4 linked regions of the Arabidopsis thaliana genome follow. The protein of the gene in region 2 interacts with the protein of the main gene of each other region in a pairwise test. Each region holds a gene or a part of one and is shown on either strand. Other genes may lie near its edges.

Region 1 (6,850 bases), on a different chromosome or scaffold from region 2:
GACAACCGCTTGTGCGTTTCCGAGATGAAGCTGCCCAACCAAGTGATATGGTCATTCAATTCAGGTAACAAGACATGGCACAAAATGTGTTCCATTAATCTGGATATAACTTCTCGTTGGTTTGGTCCTACTCAAGTATGCGCCGTCTTGCCACTAGCACTTTTGGATGGGAAGAAGAAGAAGAAGAAAAAGTTGTTGTTTTATTGTCGTGTACGAAAACGAACAATGGTGGTACATGATGACGAAACCAAATCATATGATGTTGCTTTCGAGGCTGACTCCATCGGTCATCCTGTCTGTTATTTCCCGAGTTTAATATCTATTTCATAAAGCTTCTTTCACCATCCGTTTGTTTGTCCAAGTTTGCAACTCTTAAAGCTGCCTATGATTATGTTTCAGATTCTTGTTTTATGTAAGAAGGGCTTGTTTCAACATGTACCAACAATTTTTGTCGTGCTTTTTTATGCGCTTGTTATGCTTCTAATTTATCTCACACAGTCGGATGATGTCGTTTTTCCTTGCATACTTTCAGTGACCACAATATGCTCTAGAATCTTTAAGGCACCTTATAGGTTTCTCAACGATAGCCCAAACTAGGATCTTGTTGCTATAAACTCCCCGAAAACAAAGTCTTAAATCTATGTATCTATTCAAATTCTGAAGAAATGTTAAAGAAATTGAAACAAGGTAACGAATCTCTCCGAAACCACCAATCAAATAACTCAAACAACTATCTGAAGCTTCCAATGACTTTGTTCTGTAATTCAATTGAAATAATCTCCTTTTACATGGCATCAGAATCAGAGCCATAATCAATAAATAATTGAGAAGGAGATTACATTTTCATAAGCACCATTATTAGTTTATTACACACTGGTCAATGGTGAATCTCTTTGTTGTCTAATAGTTTCCGACATTTGAATCTGAACCTTAAATCTCAAAACAAACTGATAATGAATGGTAGATAGACAAATGGAGAAATTTCAAAACTTAAAATGAAATAAACGTTTGGGGTTTAAAACTTAAATAAAGGTTACAATGATTGAGAAGGAGATTACAATTTCATAAACACCATTATTAGTTTATTACCCACTGGTTAATGGTCATCTCAGCTAACCAACAAAAATAAAGAATAAAGTTAATGACAAAATAAATTAATTCAAGAGTCCAAACGTTAGAACTTAGCAAACTCATGATCCTGCCCACAAGACCCATGCACTAGTGGTTTCTCTTGATCATATCTCTGTCTTAGCACGCTTGCTGTTGAAAGGGGACATGCTGGGGCTCAAACAAGGGCTCAAGCTCGGACTCGGACTCTCCTCCCTTAGTGTACCATTCAAAGCCGCTAACTCCTTCAGCTGTTCCCTCTTGTAGTGATCCATTGACTCGTCCTGTAGAGAGAGAAGAATCAAAACCATGTGAACAAAATAGACATGTTTGGACTTTTGTGATAAGAATGTACCATCGGCTTCAGGAGTGATTCCAGGAAATGCACTGCATGCTCCAATCGAGAGTTTATTATGTCTTCTGGAAGCTCGGCCTCGATCAGTACATGTAGTGGCTCGCAGAGATGCTCGTACCCTGGCTTACCTTTTAATTTTTCCTCCTGCAGGGAAGTAAAGAACTAAATGGATAAGCTTTCACACCGCATGGTAGATTGTCAGAGAATATATAAGAGTCAGAAAAAAATGAATTTCAAAACTTTCTCTATTTACTTCTGATGATGTAAGAACCTAAAACTTTAACAGTTTATTTCTTATACAGGCTGCCAAAATTTACATATCTTCAAATGTAAACAAGAGTAGTAGCTGCTGATGCAGTAAAAAATGTATCATTACTTCAACAATAAGCTTGATATGCTAAAAGACGTAAGCTTATACACAAAAGGAAAACAAATTGCTCCTAAAGGCCGGAAGAAAATTGTGCGTATTCAAAACATGGTTATAAAACTGATTAACAGGTAAAAACATGACATAAAGTGAAGTTTTGAACTGTAAGAATAAAACAGAGACAAAATGGAATCCTTCAGAGAATTAATAAACAAGGAGCCATACCTTGACAGTATCCTTCACAGATCCTCGTCCTCTGATAAACACCCTGCAGTGGGTTGCTAGCTCAACTCTTTTTAGGGAGTTTCCACGTGGCCCAAGAATCCTCCCAACAAAATTATACTGCAACGCTCAATGGATTTAAACTCTAGAACAATCCAATTATAATAACCTATTTGGGTAAAGATTTAAGACATACGCTTGGATATTTATCCACTGGGACATCAAGTCTAATCACTTTTTTCACAATGGGTGGGTTAGGGAGTCCCGGCATCCCAATCCAGCCCACTGGGGAAGGACCGCGAAATGGAGAAGCTCTCTGGAGGTGACAGTTTTCCTGAAGAAAGCAAAAGCAATCAATATCGGTAAAGCCCACTCTTGATTATAAAAATTATTAGTATCACCATTACAATTCAACATGAATCAGTTAATTGACTACAACTATCAGCAGTGGCTTACCTCGGCTTGCATCATCGACCATCCCTCTAAATCAAGCTTTCCATTTGTCGGCTGACCAAGCGATCTAAATGGACTGCCATGCTCATATCTATCAAGATCAGGAAAACTAGAGACCCTCCTGATTTCTGCACAGACGTCAGCAATGTTGGCAGTTAAGCAAACGTATAAAAGAAACTGTAAGAGTTATACATCAGGGGCATCTTCAGTCTCTTATCTTTAATGCCAATAATGAAACAAAAGGCTCGGGTTCTAATAGGTTAGAATGATGAAAACTTCAAACACATCTTTGTCTTTTAAGGTTCACACATCCCTTAAGGGCATGATGGACAACTAAAAGCTAGGTAAACAAGTCTGGAAACAAGCTTCTAATCACCATATGCATATTTACGGACAAATAGGCTTCCTAGTATAAATTAGTTGGTGATCATTTGCTTAACGATCATTATCATTTGCAAACACATAGACTTAATTCATTTTCACATAACATAACTCATCAAGGATGATCATTTAGCAATAAGTTGCAATTAAAAACTGTTTCTAAATGCTAAAAGTAACATAGACTTTGATTGGCTATATATATATTAAGAAGGCCATAACAAAGAGAATAAAAAGTTGCATGTAGATACATTTTTGTTACTCAACTATCCTTACCCAATTTCTGTAAACCTTTAACTGGAAAAAAGCCAGGGTGATGCGCACTAAGGCTTTGTTCACGTGGGAAATTTCTTAAGTTCGTGTGCACACACTCTAAGGAAATACTAAATTCAAAATCACATAGCTTAATAAGATAGCTCACCATGATTAAGCAGTCTGCAGCAATTTGGCATAACTTGCAAAAAGGGACCCAACTTTTGTCTCTCTTGCAATAATTCAGTCAAGTACCTGCACAAGGTTAAGAACAAAAAAAACTTAAGTTTCAGTGGATGTTGCGTGTGAATCGAGTGGGTGACATTGGAATCAGCACTCAGTCACATGTAAACTAAGCTTCTAAAAATACATCAGTACGTTCATTTCTAAAACATTGATAAAATATAGCTATCTTGTTAAAATCCTTAAGAGTACATTGTATAGAATCCAATAATAAGTGAGCTAATTGTGAAAAAGGCGACATGTTGAGGTGAGAGAGTATGATCGAGAATTTGGATCTGTGTAAGCAGTTCATGAAAATACAAACTTGACAGAATCATTTTTAAACACTGATCCAATCAAAGGCAACAATACCCACCAATCACAAAGAGACACACTTGAAGTTGTGCTAAAGCAACAAGTCCAGAAGAAGAAACGGGTCCACAACAATCAAGCTAACACAGATTCACAAATAGCAAAAAGGTTGAGAAAGAAGAGAGAAAATAGAAACCTTTCACGATCAGAGGGAGGACAAGGGGATCGATTAGGAGAAGCACGGAATCCAGAAAGAGGATACTGGAAGAAACTTCCAGGAGAGATCCTCTCTTCCATGGCCACGAAACCAGCGCCAGATTCCATCATCTTTAACACTGTAAATCCACTTAGAAAGTCAGATTGTGCATAAAGTAGAGATAAAGAAAAACAGAGAAAAACAAGTTGTGACCGGAGATAGTGAAGAGGAGAAGCGGCGGAGGATCTGACGCCGATCTCAAGGATGAGAAAGGTGTCTTGAAGTAGGTGTGGACTGTGTAGAGTGGCCACAGAGGAAGAAGAAGAAGTAGGCAAAGTAGGGAGGGAGTCAAAAGCCCTACTCACGATGAGAGACTCCTCCTCTCTCTCTCATCTCATTTTCGATATTTTCTATTTTTGTGTTTAGTTTTTTATTCTCTAGAGATTCTGTCATCTTCTTCTTAAAAGGTTCTTTGCGTTTTCATTATTATTGGGCTTCAGGTCACTAATAATGGGCCTACCTTCCCTCAGGGACATTGTAGCCTACTTCCAATCCGTGTAAACTAAAAAAATGAAGATGATGGATTCGAGCCCTTCCGAGGCAATATAACTATTCTTTAATGGGCTTAATTTTTTTTGTTTTGCTTTAGACAACAAAACACATTGGGCCGGGCCTGGTCTACCTAGTACCTTTCTTATGCATCTAATTCATTTGATCCTCAACATGCCAAATATTTATTATTTTATTTATCTCTACGAACTCTTGAAAGGTCATCATCATTCACTTGATTGCATTTGCCTATATTTTTAGTGGGAACGTAGTTAGTGATGTCCCCTGAGCGATGATGTCACCTCAGTGATGTAATGGATGATTTATTTTACTTAAAAATTCTAAAAAGTAAAAACAATGGACGAAAACAAGAATTCCGTCTATAGTGAATCAGTTAGAATATCTGAACGGTGATTTCCATGTTCCACTACTTTAATTTATTTTCTATAAATTATAATTACATTTTACACCAAACGCAGTTTACACACATACTGTATATGATAGATGCAGTCACATATACACTAAGGAAGCTAGTTACTCAAGCCGTGATTTATATACAACTTGGAAGCAAAGAAATAAGATGCTGCATAATTCACAACACATTTGCGCCTACTTCTATCTTCAAGATCCTTGATCGTCTTCCTTGTTTGTATCCTAAATCTTAGCTATTGTTCATGTAAATCATAATTTTCATTAATAGGATATTTACCTATTACTTAGCAACAAAAAAAAACGGCCGGGTTAAATGGTGTAGTTGGAAGTTGGCTACTATAAGAAATGGAAAAAATAATAAAACGCAACTTAATGAAGATTCTGCCGTTTTGCCAATGAGAAATAAAGAAGAAACAGCATAAATCTTTGTTCCCCTTTTTAATTCTTTATCCTAGGGTTCCCTTCTTTCTATGCTTTCTGTTTGTTAGCTGTTCTACACATGTATACTTTTAATTTGCAGCCAACATGAAACTTCTCCTTTGTCAGCACTCAGCCTTACGGAACAACATGTAACCCTAAACAAAATTCTACATGACCTAGGGGATTTGAAACATCCCAAGAAATTTCAGTATATTAGGTAAATGGTATTATTCTACTAGAATATATGTAGTATTTACTTTATCAAATGTATACATAAAAAGGTTTTCATTAACAATCACAGCCCAAAAAAAAAAAAAAAAAAAAAAATCCATTTCTTGGGATGTTTCAAATCCCCTAGGTCATGTAGAGTTTTGTTTAGGGGTACATGTTGTTCCGTAAGGCTGAGTGCTGACAAAGGAGAAGTTTCATGTTTGCTGCAAATTAAAAGTATACATGTTGTAGTACAACTACCAAAAAGAAAGACCTAAAACCAAAGAAGAAAACGGATAGAAGTTCGACATTGGGGAAAAATGTGGGTAGTAGCTAGTAGGTGGTGGTGAGAACAACAATGAGGATCCAGAGACAAGAAAAAACCAAGAAAAAAAGAAAAGTGAGGTCTGCTTCTGCTTTCTCTCTCCGCGCACGTGCGCCAAAAACGCTTTTCTACGATCTTGTATTAACTGTTTGGGATTGTGACTTTTCTTCCTCCTCTGTCCAATTTTTGGAATAATCAAATTCTGGGTCCGCCACTGCATTTACGCATGTTAACTCAAGAAAGTTAATGACAAAGTTCCTAACGACGCCTTCCCTCCAGTAATATCGATAAACCTAACATTAACAATGTACCTAAACCCTCCCAAATCCCAATATCATATACTATAAATTAAGCTCTTGCTAAACATCTTAGTAACCATTGTTCCATATTACATTACAAAACTTGTCTTCTGTCCAAACAAAATTGTATAAGAGTGGAACAAAGTCTAACCAACTTCTCTTCATTGCTCACGCTCACAACTAAAGGAAATTAAACAACATGAAAAGGAGTAGTAGTAATAGGAAGATCCAAGTGTTCATCAATTTCCGGGGAGAGGAGCTACGCTGCAGCTTTGTGAGCCACCTCGTTGACGCTTTTAAAAGACATGGAATCAACTTCTTCATAGACAAAGACGAACAAAAAGGGAAAGACCTCAAACATCTCTTTGCAAGGATCAAGCAATCGAGGATGGCTCTCACCATATTTTCCAAAAGATACGCAGAGTCAAGCTGGTGCCTGGACGAGCTTGCAAGGATCAAGAAAAGAGCCGATAAATGCAAGCTACGAGTGGTTCCTATCTTCTTTAAAGTGAAGGCAGAGTCTGTTAGATATCAAAAGGCTGAGTTTGGTCGCAACTTCTGGAGGTTGGCTAAGACTTCGAGTGGAGAACAAATCAAGAAATGGAAGGAAGCTTTAGAGTCTGTTTCTGACAAGGTGGGCTTAACGTTAGGCGACAAAAGGTACCTTAGCTTACTCATCATCCCTAATCTAATATTGCGACATTTTTCAGTTGTCGGTTTCCCTTTTGGTTGTCGTTAACAGAACAAACAA
Region 2 (4,939 bases):
GCAATTAGTGCAACTGAACAATACTTAAGAATAATTGGGAATTGGGAATTATAGGTGTGGCCACCAATCGGAAAGAAGAAGTTTGAGACTCTATCTTACCTCCCTGACCTTACTGACGTCGAATTGGCTAAGGAAGTTGACTACCTTCTCCGCAACAAATGGATTCCTTGTGTTGAATTCGAGTTGGAGGTAATATACACAAAACTTTTCCTTTGTCTACTAATCATTATTATTTTTTTCGTTTTCATTGCTAGAAATATTAGCCTATAACCGGATTTTTTAGAACCGAAATAGACTATATCACCTTGTGCATATCCTCCAATATCAATTGTATTGAATGGTTTTCTTATGTGTTTATAGCACGGATTTGTGTACCGTGAGCACGGAAACACTCCCGGATACTACGATGGACGGTACTGGACAATGTGGAAGCTTCCATTGTTCGGATGCACCGACTCCGCTCAAGTGTTGAAGGAAGTTGAAGAATGCAAGAAGGAGTACCCGGGCGCCTTCATTAGGATCATCGGATTCGACAACACCCGTCAAGTCCAATGCATCAGTTTCATTGCCTACAAGCCCCCAAGCTTCACTGATGCTTAAATCCTTTTCTGGAATATTCAATGTTGACTATCCGGAACCCAATTTTGTATGGTCAATGTAAATTTAAGTAATTATTTTGCCAAAGTGAAAAAACTGAAGGTTTGTTTTTCTATCGTTTCCTCTATAAAAATCTCTATTCATATCACTTCATTTCTGCTCTTATCACTTTTAACTCTTTTTATTCGTTTTATCTCTTTTAACTAACATTTTAGTTCCTTTAAATTTCTCTCCTAATTCTTGCCTTTGGTTCTCTAATGAAAGAGTACCCTTTTTAGGTACATTTCGCACTTGAAAGCATAGCAAAGATGCGTCCATCAATCAAATTTTGAGGGTTGATTTAGAACATTTTAATTTAAAGATGAAAAACAGCCAGTAAAGGTAGTAAAAATACGTAGAAAATAGAGATGTCGTCTCAGAGAAGATGAAAGTTACATAGCCCTTTGGAAAGGAAAAAATGATCACTACCGTCAAAAGTTTGTCACAAGAGATACATGCTCAAAAATTCGCAACACTAAGCCTACGATGGACGGATACAAAGGGATCTGTTTCTTTTACTTTACCCTAACTACTCCTTTCTCAGTTGGCTAGCTTCAAAAAACAGAGTTGCCACGGGAGACAGAATGTTTAAATGGAATCAACAAGTGAACACAAACTGCATGTTCTGTCACGAACCTATGGAAACAAGACACCATCTTTTTTTTGGGTGCTCTTACTCGCAGAAGGTATGGGAGAAGCTGATAAGGGGAATACTACTTGATAAGTACTCGACATATTGGAGGGAAGTCTTTAAAACCATTTGTGACAAAAACTATGACAAAACAAAAATCTTCATTCTACGGTATGTCTTCCAAAACACGGTTCATTCGATTTGGGGAGAAAGAAATGCTTGAAAGCATGGTGAACAACCATCACCAATGGAGAAACTTGTCAAGTTAATTGACAAAAATGTTTGGAACCGGCTGAGCACAATACGGAGTGGGGGGAGCTTTGAAGTATGAAGGAGGTCTTCAAGTTTGGTTTGGTACAAGACAAGCTTAAGACCAAATCCTCTGTTTTAGATTTGTTTTTCAAAAAAGTATGCATTAAGTTGTAAACACGTTTATTTCTCTTTTTAAAATCTAATCTAAAAATTTTCTTTTTTAAAATGACATAGAAAAATCCAACTGTATATTTTAAATCCATAAACATGAATTCTAGAGCCGCAAGTCCAAAAATTTAGAGATGACATCATAGCAAGCAAGGACACGCAAGAATTAATGAAATTTATAATGGAGATAACAAAGCATGAATATTTATAATTTGGAAACTGTTTTACATTAAATTAGATAGTTTACGATACATTCAAAGCTAAAACACTTATTTACAATGAAAAGTAATCAATGTTTCTTGAATGGGTTTGGCTACTTCTTCTCATATGGTTGGACCGGGGCATATATGAGCTTTTACGTGGTATTCGTGGACCCATGACCATATGAGCTTCTTCATGTGGCCTTAGAGTGTGGATTCTTCCCTCGGATCCACACCATCCATTGAAGTGTGTTATAAAATTTCCCCATGATCCGTCATGGCTTTTGTGCTTAAGTTGTCATGGTGGGAATTATCTTGAGGTGCCACATTCGTGCTTAAGTGGGCCGTAAGTGCAATTGCGTTGTGCTCCAAAAGGAACGGTGCCGTGGGTTCCTCTTGTTCATCAGAAATATATTAATTAGCCGTAAAACCTGAAAATTCACAAGCATTTGGATTGTTTTCTAATTTAATATCCATTATGTGACTAAAAGTTCTAGTGATCGTACATACTACATAGAAAATAATAACACAAAATACTAGTTTACATTTCCCAATTAAAAACCATTTTGAATGAACTCTGTCTGATTTAATTATACTTTTAAAATGTGGGATGAATTCAAAGATTATACTTATATTCTTATTATTTAAGATTATCAAGTGGAAAAATAAAAATATGAATGTGTTAATATAAGGTAATAGAAATTTAATCATTTTTTTAATCTATATGTAAAAAGTATTTAACCGATATCTACAATTTGACGCCTCCCAATTGAAAGGAGCCAAAAGCAACCGATCAAGTGGAGACCAGTAGCCATACACATTCACTCCTACCCTTACATGAGAAAGATAAGATTATGGAGTTTTCTGCCACGTGATCTTATCCTAGTGGTCCAAATCGATAAGGGTGTCAACACCTTTCCTTAATCCTGTGGCAATTAACGACGTTATCATGAATTATGGCCCCTTTGATCATTAGGGCTAGTTGCCTCTAGCGGTTCCCACTATATAAAGATGACAAAACCAACAGACAAACAAGTAAGTAAGAGAAAAACCAAAAGAAGAAGAGAAACAACAAGAAGAAGTAATGGCTTCCTCTATGTTCTCCTCCACCGCTGTGGTTACCTCCCCGGCTCAAGCCACCATGGTCGCTCCATTCACCGGCTTGAAGTCATCCGCTTCTTTCCCGGTCACCCGCAAGGCCAACAACGACATTACTTCCATCACAAGCAACGGAGGAAGAGTTAGCTGCATGAAGGTAAATGTCATTAATGAAAACTGTCTTTTGTCATGTGCAATTAGTGCAACTGAACAATACTTTAGAATAATTGGGAATTCGAATTTATAGGTGTGGCCACCAATCGGAAAGAAGAAGTTTGAGACTCTATCTTACCTCCCTGACCTTAGTGACGTTGAATTGGCTAAGGAAGTTGACTACCTTCTCCGCAACAAGTGGATTCCTTGTGTTGAATTCGAGTTGGAGGTAATATACACTGAACTTTTCCTTTGTCTCTAAGCATCCTTTATTCTTCTTCTTCATTGCTAGAAACTTAAGTGGATAACCGAAATAGACTATCACCAATATATATATCAATTGTATTGAATGGTTTTCTTTATATATAGCACGGATTTGTGTACCGTGAGCACGGAAACACTCCCGGATACTATGATGGACGATACTGGACAATGTGGAAGCTTCCATTGTTCGGATGCACCGACTCCGCTCAAGTGTTGAAGGAAGTTGAAGAATGCAAGAAGGAGTACCCTGGCGCCTTCATTAGGATCATCGGATTCGACAACACCCGTCAAGTCCAATGCATCAGTTTCATTGCCTACAAGCCCCCAAGCTTCACCGAAGCTTAATCCCCTTTCTGGAATATTCAGCGTTGATTATTCTGGAACCCATTTCTATGTGGTCAATGCAAATTTAAGAAATTATTTGCCGACTTAACAGTTGAGGAACTATTGTTTGAAAGTGAAAATGTTATTCCTATCAGTTTCTCTATAATTATAGTTATCATTTCATTTCATTTTTGCCCTTAAATCTTTGAAATCTTATTTTTCGTTTAGCTCCTTTAAACAACATTGTGGCTCCTTTAAATTATCCTCATAATTCTTGCTTTTGACTCCCTAGACTAACCAATAAACTCTAATAAAAAAAGAAAAACTTGCTACATTGTTTTAAGAAATTTTGCACATGAAAGCAATCAATCAAACCTCGATATTTAGAGAAAAGTTTATGTAAGGGAGTGTAACCATTTTTCAGATGACATAGCCATTGGAGATTTGGAAAAGGTAGTATATACAGAAAATTCAAATGCATCTTTTAAAATTATAAACATAAAACATGTATTCCAAACCCCTAAGTGGGATATTAAGTCAAGAAATAGCATTACATAAAGCAAGGATCGACAAAGACTGAAATTTGTCAAGCATGAAGTTACTAAATTTTGGAAATTTTGTTTACGTTAAATTTGATCATTGGTTATGCATTAAAAGCTGAAACAGTTATTTAGAAGGAAAAGTAGTTAACGTTCCCAAAAAGTTCTAAATAAAACTAGATTCCAAATGATAATGAAAACGTCGCATCTACTATATGTTTGGTTTTAAGTTTTTGTTTTGACAAAAAATCATATGTTTTTGGATTCTTCTATGCAAACGAAATATAAAAAATTCATGATTCAAATACAAAATACATATAAAAATAATAATTCAAATTATCGAACATTTTTTCCATCTCCCGGATTTAATTCACACATTTTGGCTTCAATTAAAATCCAAGAAAAAGAAACAAAATGACTTATAAAAGACAGAAACTAGTAACTTAGATGGATGGGTTAAGACTTAAGAGTTAAGACTATCTCACTTTCGAAAAATGATTTATTTAGCTGAGGTGCGGAGTGGAGTGGACCTTGTGATCCTTTTCCCTACACGAAAGTTTTTTCGTGACCAGTTAATGTGTACTTTGTACACGTTTCTTCTCATATATATGATTGAAAAGGGGGCATTAATTTGTGAGCCTGAAGGTAGTAGTCGTGATCCATGAGTGCATGAC
Region 3 (5,365 bases), on a different chromosome or scaffold from region 2:
TGCGATTTATAAATTTATGATATTGTAGTATATAAAACCGATTTTTAGTGTATACCTTTCAATAAAATAGAGTTTTTATAATTAAAGTATAATAGTATTTGGTTTTTATATGGTTAGGTAATAGTATTTGGTTTATTATAAACTAATAAATTTGTTGATTTTAGTTAAAAATAAAAAATCAAATTAAGTAATATTTGTTTTGTTTATTTTTAAGATTGTATAACTATCATCTATTTTCTTGTAATCTAATGTTGATCCTGAAAGAAAAATCCATAAGAATACGCATAAATGGATAGTAATATTAGGAGATAAATATCATTAGAACATGAAGTAATTTACTTATGAATCTCTATCTATTGTTCGAAATAATCGATATTCTATATTGATTGTGAGGCAATGTGAATGTATGCATAACATTTATAATTATAAGAGATAGATTGTATGCAAAATTAGATTTTAATTTGGATTCAATCTTAGCTTTACTGAAAAAACTAAGATTATACACTTGTAGTTTGATTGTTAATTTAAGACTTTCACCTGTAGTATACCATCTTGTATTAATATCGATCTAAACCCGTCAATTTTACGATTTTCCAGCTTGTTAAAAATTGAATCACATCATACACATAAAAAATCTAATATCTTATTAATTATTGTAGTATATAAGATTATAATTTTTTAATATAATATGTATAAAATTGAATATAAATATTTCAAATTATGACCTGTTAACTCAGTAGAAAGTTTTCTTAAATCTATTTTCACCCGTTATAATATTTTTCATGTATTGAACAGTTTATATTCGTTTTTAAAAATTCAAATTATGGCATATGCGAAAAAACTCTAATTATTTTTTTATAATGATGATATTATTTTTTCGCAAAAATAGAATCATATAAAGATGAGAAGTGAACTATAATAATTAATAAAAAATTAATATGATAATTTAGATATCAAATCTAATTTGTTAATTTTAATTGTTTATTTTTTTGGAAATTAATAATGTATTTCGTTTTTCTAATTAAATTAAATTAATTAAAATTTAGATATCAAATCTTATATGTTGATTTTGATTGGTTATTGTTTTTGGAAATTAAAAATGTATTTCGTTTTTTAATTAAATTTAATTAATTAAATTAGTATTTGACTTTTTAATCCTTAAACAGATAAATTAATTTACTCTTTAAAATTTTATTTCTAATGGTATACCTATGTAATTATTTACAAAAAGTAAGGTTACATTTAAAATGTACTTCCCAAATAATATAGTAAGATTTCTAACGTAAATGAATTCAATTTTAGCAATTTCTTCAAAACGTTTTCTGAAAAAAAAAGCGAAGAATATCCAAAAGAAAGAAAGTAAACGAAGATGTCAAAACGAAAAAAATGCCACTACATGTGGCTATGTCCTATGTACATCATCAACTATATATAATTCAAATCTCATTTTCAATCTTTATTTTTGCCTATAGAAAACGTCCTTTTTCTGTACTGTTGTCTTGTTTGTTGCTTAGATCTGGATGGACCCATGGGCCTATAACGGGCCTATCAATTAAATACTCATCATCATCAAAATAAAACTTCGACACCGGAAGTCTTCACGGCGAGGCAAATCGGACAGACTCGCACTGCTCCGACGTCGCATCCATTACAAAGAATCAAATGTTGACACGGCAATGCCATCACCGTCGCAGATTTCCGCCGGCAAATCCTACAACTTGGTCCGATCAATTCGATCCGCTCCGGATCCACGTAAACCGATTCAGCGTCCTCTGCTTCTTCCGCGTCTCCGCCGTCTTCTCCGAACGTACTCTGTTTCGCCGCCGTATCTAGGCGGTTAGCTATGGCTTGTTGGAGATGAGCATGTAACGAGGACACCTCAGCTTCCCGCGTCGCCGCTCTTAACTGCCAGTTTCGCGCCTCTTCCACGATGTGAGCTACACGCGCTTCTAGCTCAGCGTGACGGCGCGTGGCTTTCTCCAACTCCGCTTCTTTTTTTCTCAATTTCCGTCCGACTATCTCCTCCGCAGCGCACAATAACTCTACGTAGCGTCTCTCTCTGTTATCCGCTAACGTACGCCGCAACTCTTCACCCTGCAAAATCAAATTATCAACACAAAGAAAAAACAAACCAAACCACATTTTAGGTCGAGTTTAATAAGACACCTGAGTCTGAATGAATCTGTCTAGTTCATCTCTTTGCCGTTTAATCTTTCCGGTAACATCTCCGGGAAGAGAAGAAAAAAACTGTTGTTGATTCTGTGACTGATCATGAAATAATCGAAGACCAGTGGAAACCACGTTAGGCGTTTTCTGCAACAACTCGGTTATATCAATAACTTGCGACGGTTTTGGAGGTGGAGGGTTCATCAGAGCCGATGAATAAACTTCTCTTGATCGTTTTCTTGAATCAACCCCTGTTTCAAAAACGGTGATGATTGAATGGAATTGAAGGAAAAAATTTGGAAACGATATGGGAATAATGAGAAGAGAGACCAGCTTTGGTGAAATTAGTGAAAGGAGTGTCTTGAGGCTGCAACGAACAATCACTAGCTTCTTGTCCGTTACTGTTCAATAAATTTTCATAAGAAATTGAAAACATCACATACATAATAAATACACAGGGCGTATACTATTACTATATGATTATATGAAGATTTTTACCTGTTGTTGAAGAAGAAACGTGAAGGATGCTGAGCTTGAATCGCCATTGAGCTATCAGAGAAGAGACCTATGCGTTCATTATCAGATAATAAGGGCATGCATGTGTGTTTGTGTATATGGGAAATGATGATGCTGATGATGATGAAAATGTATTGATTTTTTCAAGTATGAATTAAGAACTGAAAAAGAAAAGGAGAAAGAATGGGAGAAATAAATGGGGAAGATGAGGTTTTAGAGGGGAGGGGGACGAAAGGGTACAAAGACTTGTGGGTCTTTTTAAAGCTTTCAACATTATATGCATGATTCACACTAATGTTACCATTTTTTTTTTGCATCTACTTCTATTTTTTTCCTTAGTACTAGTACTCTTTCAATCATTCTTCAGTTGCAATATAGACTATATAGTATAATTTAGAGACTGAATCAAAATTAAAAGATGTGAACGATGTAACACTCTTCCCAAAGACCCTTCCAACCTAACTAAACCAAACCGTCTTTCAACCAAACTAATCCATTTTAGATCAGTCGATACATCACATATTTGCATGTTCCAGATGAATAATCTGTAGATGTATTCGTTAATCTTGTAGTACCTGAGGGTTTTAGCTACCTAACAATTTTCTTTTTCAATTTTTTTTTTTTGTTTTTTTTTTTCGTTTTAATTATAACTTAGATAGATCTTGGGCCAAAACCTAGATTATTATTACATGATGCATATAGTGAACCGAGTATTTCTTTTTTTTTTTCATTTAAGATGTTTACAATAACTAAATAAAAAGCTAACAATAGCGGTCCATAGTTTCATAGCAAAAAAAAAAAACAAAGAGAGAACAATAGCGGTCCATAGTTGGTTGGGATTCATATCTAGGTTTGATGTATAGGATAAATCCTTCACCACTCTTCCAATATAACCAATGTCCCAATTTTTGATATTATAAAAAGAAAACGGAGGAGTCGTCAATTATTGAAAGGTCTAGATCCATGTCGATGGCTAGATGCATATAAAGCATTAATGGATCGGACGTCATATATTCTTCAAATAAAAGGTATCAAATTAGATTATCCCTTGGTGCACTTCACGTTTCCTCATTGATATTATGCTTCACAGTTGCATATTATATATATGCTGGTGAGTCTTTTTCAAAACGATAAGCGACATACATATTCTAGCAAACAAACAATGTTCTACTTACCACATGATACATATAGGTACATAATGTTTCGTCATCAGTACACATTGCCATAGCGTATACATGAGATTACAAAAATTGAACTATATATAAAAAGAAAATCAAGCTTATCAAAATGTTTGGAGGAGTATGAAACATAATAATATATATAGGCATGATTTAATACTTTATAAACAGTAACACGTTAGCGAAAATTGATATCTAACAACAAATAATTTGGTTCTAGCATATGTTGGTCAGAAAGAATGGTAGGAATTTATATACTAATAAATGTCAACAAGATGACATAAAAATCTAGAAATGTGGTGGCAAGGTAAGCAACAAATTGATATAAGATGGATGGCATGTCCATTGTCAAGCAGTTGCATGATTTTAGTGGTCAGAACTCAGAAGTCAACATTTTTCTTAATTTTGTTTTTGTTTATATTTCAAATCAAGAGCAACATTAGATTAAGTAAAAGTTTGCTTGTATGTTTAGCCTATCAATTTAAATTTTCATATCTCTAACCATCAATAATGTTTTCTGTAGATGCTTTAGTTGATTAATCACCATTCCAAAATTCTTTCAAAAACAGGAGTAGTAATACAAAACAAATCAATTGAGTGATTAATCACCTTCACATTTCCCCAATTAGCATGCATTCCATGTTTGTGGTTTAATTAACCTAGAAGCCAATCGATTTTATAATGAATTAGTGTTAGAAAACGTTTCTAATGAAAAATGAAAGTAAAAACAAACTAAATATAGACCAATCACTGAAATAAAAAGAACATAACAAAAGCCAAACTCCAACCACACGTACATGCTTCTATATTTCACCGATAACAATTCAATAAAGAAGTCTACCTCATAGACATCTCTTTACATTTCAATTCCGTTTCCATATTTTACAAACAATATTTCTTTCACAAATCGATACGAGTCTCGTGAAATACACAATGTCTTCGGTTATAAATGTTCTCTTCGTCGTCCTAGTCTTTGTCCCGTCTATATACTCGGCACCACCACCAAATTTAACAAAAGATTATTACCAAAAAACATGTCCCGATTTCAATAAAATCGTACGTGAAACCGTTACACCAAAGCAAGGCCAGCAGCCAACGACAGCTGCTGGAACACTCCGTCTCTTTTTCCATGATTGTTTCATGGAAGGATGTGATGCTTCCGTCCTTATCGCTACAAATTCTTTCAACAAAGCCGAACGTGACGATGACCTCAACGAGTCGCTTCCGGGAGATGCATTCGACATTGTGACTCGCATCAAAACCGCTCTTGAATTGTCTTGTCCCGGGGTGGTGTCCTGCGCAGACATCCTGGCTCAGGCCACACGTGACCTTGTCACAATGGTTGGTGGGCCTTTCTATGAAGTCAAACTGGGCCGTAAAGATGGTTTTGAGTCAAAAGCCCATAAAGTCAAAGGAAATTTACCTTTAGCGAACCAATCCGTCCCCGACATGTTATCGATATTCAAGAAGAATGGTTTCACTCTAAAGGAGCTGGTTGCGTTAAG
Region 4 (6,939 bases), on a different chromosome or scaffold from region 2:
TTCAGTTTTCATAGTTTATGGTTTTTTATAAAGTAGAGAAGAGAAGAAAAGAAAAGAGTTGTAAATCTTCTCACATTGATACAGATGTGATTGGGAAATTTTAGTTTGCCATGTTAATGTAACCAGGCCCAGCCCAATTGTGTTGGGTACAAGTTGAAACTAAAAAGCCTTAATATTTCAGATTTTTTTTTTCGGACAAACATACAACTTCAGATTAAAATATCTTTATCTATATTTTAAAAGAGGAAAAAAAAACTATTTTGTGAAGACAAAATGGGAGAAAGAAAAGGACAAGAGAGAGTCAATGTCTATAACGACTGTTTGTGTCTGATCCCAATTTCATGTCTTTATATGTCTTCTCCTTTATAGGTCGCTTTTCATTTACGCTCTTTCTTGTTTTTAGCTTTCATTTCTCTTTTTAGCTTTTATTTTATCATTCTGTTTTTTTTCTTTTGTCCAAACTATTTTTCAAATTTTTTATCAAATCCATTATATGTGAATAAAATAAAAACCATAAACCCAAATAATTGAATGGAACAAACAAACTAAAATGTATAAATTGAAAAATAAAACAAGCAAGAAATATTGGCGAGCATTTCCATTTCCGTCATGTCTCGTTGCTGTCTATAAATAATTTTTTCTTTTTAAGAAATTTGTTTCGTCCAGTTCTCGCAAAATCCCAAATTGTGGTTTGCCAACCCCTAAAAATATAACATGATTATTAGTAGATTGAGTTCACATGCCCAAGTTTTTCCAAAAGTTAGCCCAAATCTAAATTACATTATTAACGACACTTGTGGTCATGAGGAACATCGATAAACATAGAAGGTGTAACCACTAAGGAGTATTACATGCAAATGTGGTAACCAAAATCTGAAGGAATAATAAGAGGACAATTAGATCAGATCCGGTGGTTTAAGATTCAAATACCGAATTTGCCCTTGTGACATGTAAATTATTACTGGATTAACATAAATGGAGACACACGTAATAACTATTGACAAGGAAAGTATGTGGTATTGACCAAACAACACACATACACAGACACACTTCAAACTTAACCATGGTTACTCACACGTGATATGTCCTCCGGTTAAATATGTTTTCATTATCATTGTTAATTATTATTTTCTTATTATCACATTCCCATATATTAAAAGATTTTAGTGTTATCTAAAATAATTTCAGATTATAATTTCAGTTTCATAATTCCAATCTTGAAAATTTTGGTTCTTATACTTGTGTATATAATTGGATATTGGATTTTTGTTTACGTATGGCCTAGATCAAACTCTTGGTATTATTAATTGGAAAGCTAACTCTTACGACAAAAAAATACAATGACACATGCGGAAATTTATTGAGCCTTGCTACGATCATGTAGGATTGACATATGTATGTCGTATCTCTATCTTATTTGGATATATAGGGTATAGTCATATCAGAGAAATTTTCTAAAATGTTTTCTTAGGATCCTTAAATTATATTTTAAAAGGATTATCTAAGTCTCCTGATTTCCTATGAATTGGTTCGCAACCTACGAAAAAACTATGGGATCAAAAGCAAAAAATTCTAAGTTTTTTTTTCAACTTTGGTAAATTTTAACATAAATAGTTAGATGTTTATCTCCCTTCATTCCTTTTTGAAACCAATAATTTTAATCTTCCTTTCACTTACCATTTAGAAAAACACACGAAACTATGTTTTTTGTTTTTAAAAATATGTGTACCTCATATATATGCTGCATGTACAGCCTTTATACGTCTATATGCAGTTGTGTATTTCATATAATTATACTATACAAATAGAACATAAAATAGAACTATAGTTATTTACAACACAATATATATATATATATACAGCTGTATAATGTATTTTAGAATACTAGTCTGGGCCAATCAAACGGGAATATAAAAACCCGAGGTAGAATTTTATTTTTACATCGTTTAAACACAAAGAAAGATGGTTAGCAACAGCAAATTGCTTACATGGTTATCAACAAAATATCGTGTTTCGTAAACAATAAGTTAAAAATAATTCAATGAACTATTGGGATTATCAAATCAAACTGTAAAAATTAGTTTATTCAAAGAACAATTAATGGCTGAGTTAATTAGCTTGCCTTGAATTGTTAAATAATTAGATGCTTCTAATCAGATTTCAAGGAGATATGTCGGAAGCACCGACGACACGTGCGGATCCGTCACGTGCGCGATTCAACTCTTTAACTCGTATGTCGATATTTCTTTTTTTAATTCTCTTCTTTTTTCACACTCCATATTGTCGATTTTTATGCCCGGAATCAAGGGTTTGACTTACCAAATTGTTACCTTCTTTTAGGCTTAAAATTTATTACACTTAAAATAATCCGGATTAATATTTTCTAAAAAATTCACTAACTAGAGAAGAAATAATAATAAAAAAGACATGTGAAAGAGTTAATGAAAGTTGAGAAAAAAGAGATAATATTATTTTTATTTTATTTTTAGTTTTGTTTTTCTGCAGAAGAGCCAAAGCTCTTTCCTTCATATATACGAACCCCTTTTTCCATTTTCTTTGTGCAAAAAGTGTAACCTTCCTTATCCGATTCTGAAGCAGAAATTAGCTGCAGAATCTTCAGATTCTCTCTATACCTAGATTGGTTTTTCACAGAATCTTCGCTATTTTGTTCAGATCTGCCACTGTTTCAGGTTTGAACTAATTTTACATAAATTTTCTCTCCTAATCTTTCTCTGTTTCATCTTTGGTTTTCTCAATCGATTCGATATGAATTTGATTTGGTTTAGCTTGATTCGATTTGATCATCATGTCTAACTAGTTCTATCTAACTTTGTTAGTTTACTGTTCTTTTGTGTGGTTCTTGTTCTTACTTCAGACCGATCTATGTTTTTTTTGCTTTGTCTGCTTCACACAACACAATCGTGAGCTTGCTCTTATGAAAATCTAATCTAACTAAATTTTCTTAATTTGTGGTCTTTTTAATTTCATAATGGATTAATAAACTAAATATCCTCAAAACGTTCTTGAAGTTTTATAATTTGTATTTTTTGTTTTCTCCGGAGATTTGGTATTTGAAATCTTCTTACTATCTGAAATGACCCTTTTTGTCGGTTTTTCTTGAATCTTTTTATTTATTTTTATTTTCCGGGAAAATTTCGTTTGTTAGGTAAAGTTGACTGATACAAAGGACTTGAGTTGCTAAATAAAAAGCATTTGTATTGTGCTTTTGTTTGGTTACTCTGTTCTCAAACAAAAGCTGATACATTTGTATTTGTTGTTGCAGCAAAAACGGTCACAAAAAATATGATAAATGTGATGAATCCAATGAAAGGTGGAACAGAGAAAGGTTTAGATCCTCAGCTATGGCATGCATGTGCTGGTGGTATGGTTCGTATGCCTCCTATGAACTCTAAAGTCTTTTACTTTCCTCAAGGTCACGCCGAAAACGCTTACGATTGTGTCGATTTCGGTAATCTCCCTATTCCTCCCATGGTTTTGTGTCGTGTTTTAGCCATTAAGTATATGGCTGATGCTGAATCTGACGAGGTTTTCGCTAAACTGAGATTGATTCCTTTGAAAGATGATGAGTATGTTGATCACGAGTATGGTGATGGTGAAGATAGTAACGGTTTCGAGAGTAATAGTGAGAAAACGCCTTCGTTTGCTAAGACTTTGACTCAGTCTGATGCTAATAACGGTGGGGGTTTCTCTGTTCCTCGTTATTGCGCTGAGACGATTTTCCCGAGGTTGGATTATAACGCCGAGCCGCCGGTTCAGACCATTCTTGCTAAGGATGTTCATGGTGATGTTTGGAAGTTCAGACATATTTATAGAGGGACGCCTCGGCGTCACCTTCTTACAACCGGATGGAGTAATTTTGTAAACCAGAAGAAGCTTGTGGCGGGAGATTCGATTGTCTTCATGAGAGCGGAGAATGGAGATCTTTGTGTAGGTATTAGGAGGGCTAAGAGAGGAGGGATAGGTAATGGACCCGAATATTCAGCGGGTTGGAATCCGATCGGTGGAAGTTGCGGCTACTCTTCTCTGTTAAGGGAAGATGAAAGCAATAGTTTGAGGAGAAGTAATTGTTCCCTTGCGGATAGGAAGGGGAAAGTGACGGCTGAATCTGTTATAGAAGCAGCCACTCTTGCTATTAGCGGAAGACCGTTTGAGGTTGTGTACTATCCGAGAGCTAGCACTTCAGAGTTTTGTGTCAAGGCATTAGATGCTCGAGCTGCCATGCGGATTCCGTGGTGCTCAGGTATGAGGTTTAAGATGGCTTTTGAGACAGAGGATTCGTCTCGGATAAGTTGGTTTATGGGGACTGTTTCAGCTGTTAATGTCTCTGATCCTATCCGTTGGCCTAACTCTCCTTGGCGGCTTCTACAGGTAAACAAACACTCAAAATTTTCTTCTAGCTCAAGTTAGAATATAGACTCATAGGTTGCATTTTTGTGTTTTCAGGTGGCGTGGGATGAGCCAGATTTACTCCAAAACGTGAAGCGAGTTAACCCGTGGTTGGTGGAATTGGTATCAAACGTACATCCGATCCCGCTTACTTCGTTTTCGCCACCGAGGAAAAAGATGCGGCTACCTCAGCATCCAGATTACAACAATCTGATCAATTCGATTCCAGTACCTTCATTCCCAAGCAATCCCCTTATTAGATCAAGCCCGTTAAGCTCTGTTCTGGACAATGTTCCCGTGGGTTTACAGGGAGCCAGGCATAATGCTCATCAGTACTACGGGTTATCATCTTCGGATCTTCACCATTACTACTTGAATAGACCACCTCCTCCTCCTCCTCCATCCTCTCTCCAACTTTCTCCTTCTCTCGGTCTCCGAAACATCGATACCAAAAACGAAAAAGGATTTTGCTTTTTGACAATGGGAACAACACCATGCAATGATACCAAATCTAAAAAGTCCCATATTGTATTGTTCGGCAAGCTTATACTACCCGAGGAACAGCTATCAGAAAAAGGCTCAACGGATACCGCAAACATAGAGAAAACGCAGATTTCATCAGGCGGGTCGAACCAAAACGGCGTTGCGGGAAGGGAGTTTTCTTCGTCAGATGAAGGATCACCTTGCTCTAAGAAAGTTCATGATGCATCAGGTTTGGAAACAGGGCATTGTAAAGTGTTTATGGAGTCAGACGATGTAGGTCGAACCTTAGACCTATCGGTTCTTGGTTCATACGAAGAATTGAGTCGGAAACTCTCTGACATGTTTGGAATCAAAAAGTCTGAGATGTTAAGCTCTGTTCTCTATAGGGATGCATCAGGAGCCATCAAATACGCAGGAAACGAACCTTTCAGGTACATTTTTTTATTATAGACAAGATTGTCATATTTTTCGTACTATTTTGATGATGAAGTAAAAGAAAACATCTAATAGTTGTTGGTGTTTTGACTCATCTTTGGCAGTGAGTTCTTGAAGACAGCTCGAAGATTGACAATTCTGACGGAACAAGGAAGTGAGAGCGTTGTAGTATAACTTGGCAGAGTGTTTTGTTGGAGCTTGGAAGTCAAAACTCAACGATTGAATCTTTTAAGTTTTTTTTTTCTTTTATTTGTTTATTTTAGTTCCACTTTTTTGGATTATGTAAGTTTCAAAATGCAATTCACAATCTATTTGCAAATAAAATAGGTTCTTCTTCCCTTGAAAAGCTTCATTGATCAAATAGGGTATAAGAACCAAAGTCTAGACGGCAAATTATGATATGTTTGTCAAAGTCACTTCAATTTGTCTACAAATTAGTGATGACACGCATAAACCAATAGGCCTCAAACATGGTTGCATTGCTTACTTTGATTCATTATGTAATATATAAAGTGATTTTTCTTTAAATATTTCATTATTTGTTTCTTGGGATCAATAAGTTGTTGAGAGGTATGAAAAGTAATAAAAATCTGGAAGACAATTAGTTAGGGTGATGCGAGGGTCATGTCTCTAGGCACATGCACAACAAACAACGGTCGGATCCTATGTTTGACAAAACACAAAGTCCTCAACACCTAAGTTAAGTTGGATCTCCCACTTTTCATTTATAACTCAAAACTATATATATATTTAAAAGATTTTCAGATTCCAATGTATACACAACGAAAATTCCATATCATCTTCAACCTACTAATTATAAATGTACAACGAAAGTACTCTATATTCGCTTCTCGGTTCTCAAAGTCAATGAAGTTCTAAACTCACTTTTTCTCTGCTTATTTAATGTAAAAAGACCAAAAGTTCTAGCCCTTTTTACTTTCTAGTCTTTAATCTTATATAAAACCATACTCACTTTTTCTGTTCCAACCTAATGTCCTATAATGTTCCAATCTCAAGTCTTAATCATGATAGATTTGTAAAAATGTTTTTGTAAAATGACTTGTCCACTCTCAGACCTAATCTGACGACGCTTCTAGACATCAATACAAAAATGAATATGACTTGAGAGTGATGGACATCATGAAATGTGTAAATAGACGAAAGGGAGATATTTTAAATCCAGTTACATGTCATGATTAGAGTTAATATAAATTGAACCAAAACTCAATTATTGTAGCTTAAGAGAGAGTATGAACATTGTATACAAAAATAGATACACACATAAATTAATTGCATATCTGAATAAATCAAAAGTTTAGGAGTTTACATTAATCAAAAGTGATTGTGACAACTCTACGTATGAAGTTGACTCTTGAACCACACATGTTCAGAATTCACAATCCCAACAAGATCATAAGAGAAAACAAACAGCAAAATGAGAGATACATGGGGTAGTCTTGATTTGGATTAATCATTTAATTAATCAAAGTAGTCAAGTTAATCAACTGGCGATCATAATATATATGTTAATTATTAGGACAAAATACTTAGGGTTTTGCAACAAAACTATTGTTAACCATGGTTGAGTACTTGAGTTAAGACGATATCGACAGA

What was found.
Region 1: the proteins of RBCS2B (region 2) and AT1G09660 interact in a two-hybrid assay, tested with the Arabidopsis thaliana proteins (one large-scale study listed by BioGRID).
Region 3: the proteins of RBCS2B (region 2) and AT4G17680 interact in a two-hybrid assay, tested with the Arabidopsis thaliana proteins (one large-scale study listed by BioGRID).
Region 4: the proteins of RBCS2B (region 2) and ARF16 interact in a two-hybrid assay, tested with the Arabidopsis thaliana proteins (one large-scale study listed by BioGRID).

Annotation. Positions count from the first base shown.
Region 1 is NC_003070.9:3,126,797-3,133,646, forward strand, and holds AT1G09660 (RNA-binding KH domain-containing protein), read right to left. Parts: upstream 4,299-6,850; 5' UTR 4,078-4,298; exon of another isoform or gene 4,004-4,077; 5' UTR 3,996-4,003; coding exon 3,865-3,995; intron 3,390-3,864; coding exon 3,304-3,389; intron 2,633-3,303; coding exon 2,508-2,632; intron 2,386-2,507; coding exon 2,248-2,385; intron 2,172-2,247; coding exon 2,055-2,171; intron 1,607-2,054; coding exon 1,463-1,606; coding exon of another isoform or gene 1,409-1,462; exon of another isoform or gene 1,392-1,408; coding exon 1,236-1,391; 3' UTR 966-1,235; downstream 1-965. Other genes in the region: AT1G09650 (F-box and associated interaction domains-containing protein), read left to right, coding at 1-330; AT1G09665 (Toll-Interleukin-Resistance (TIR) domain family protein), read left to right, coding at 6,299-6,759, 6,842-6,850.
Region 2 is NC_003076.8:15,380,011-15,384,949, reverse strand, and holds RBCS2B (Ribulose bisphosphate carboxylase (small chain) family protein), read left to right. Parts: upstream 1-2,878; 5' UTR 2,879-2,971; coding exon 2,972-3,142; intron 3,143-3,232; coding exon 3,233-3,367; intron 3,368-3,507; coding exon 3,508-3,747; 3' UTR 3,748-4,043; downstream 4,044-4,939. Other genes in the region: RBCS1B (Ribulose bisphosphate carboxylase (small chain) family protein), read left to right, coding at 55-189, 361-600. UniProt on the Arabidopsis thaliana protein: RuBisCO catalyzes two reactions: the carboxylation of D-ribulose 1,5-bisphosphate, the primary event in carbon dioxide fixation, as well as the oxidative fragmentation of the pentose substrate.
Region 3 is NC_003075.7:9,841,334-9,846,698, forward strand, and holds AT4G17680 (SBP (S-ribonuclease binding protein) family protein), read right to left. Parts: upstream 3,002-5,365; 5' UTR 2,763-3,001; coding exon 2,665-2,762; intron 2,568-2,664; coding exon 2,497-2,567; exon of another isoform or gene 2,418-2,496; coding exon 2,167-2,417; exon of another isoform or gene 2,143-2,166; coding exon of another isoform or gene 2,095-2,142; coding exon 1,570-2,094; 3' UTR 1,277-1,569; downstream 1-1,276. Other genes in the region: AT4G17690 (Peroxidase superfamily protein), read left to right, coding at 4,794-5,365.
Region 4 is NC_003075.7:14,701,929-14,708,867, reverse strand, and holds ARF16 (auxin response factor 16), read left to right. Parts: upstream 1-2,513; 5' UTR 2,514-2,690; intron 2,691-3,283; 5' UTR 3,284-3,303; coding exon 3,304-4,389; intron 4,390-4,464; coding exon 4,465-5,321; intron 5,322-5,429; coding exon 5,430-5,499; 3' UTR 5,500-5,803; downstream 5,804-6,939. UniProt on the Arabidopsis thaliana protein: Auxin response factors (ARFs) are transcriptional factors that bind specifically to the DNA sequence 5'-TGTCTC-3' found in the auxin-responsive promoter elements (AuxREs). Could act as transcriptional activator or repressor.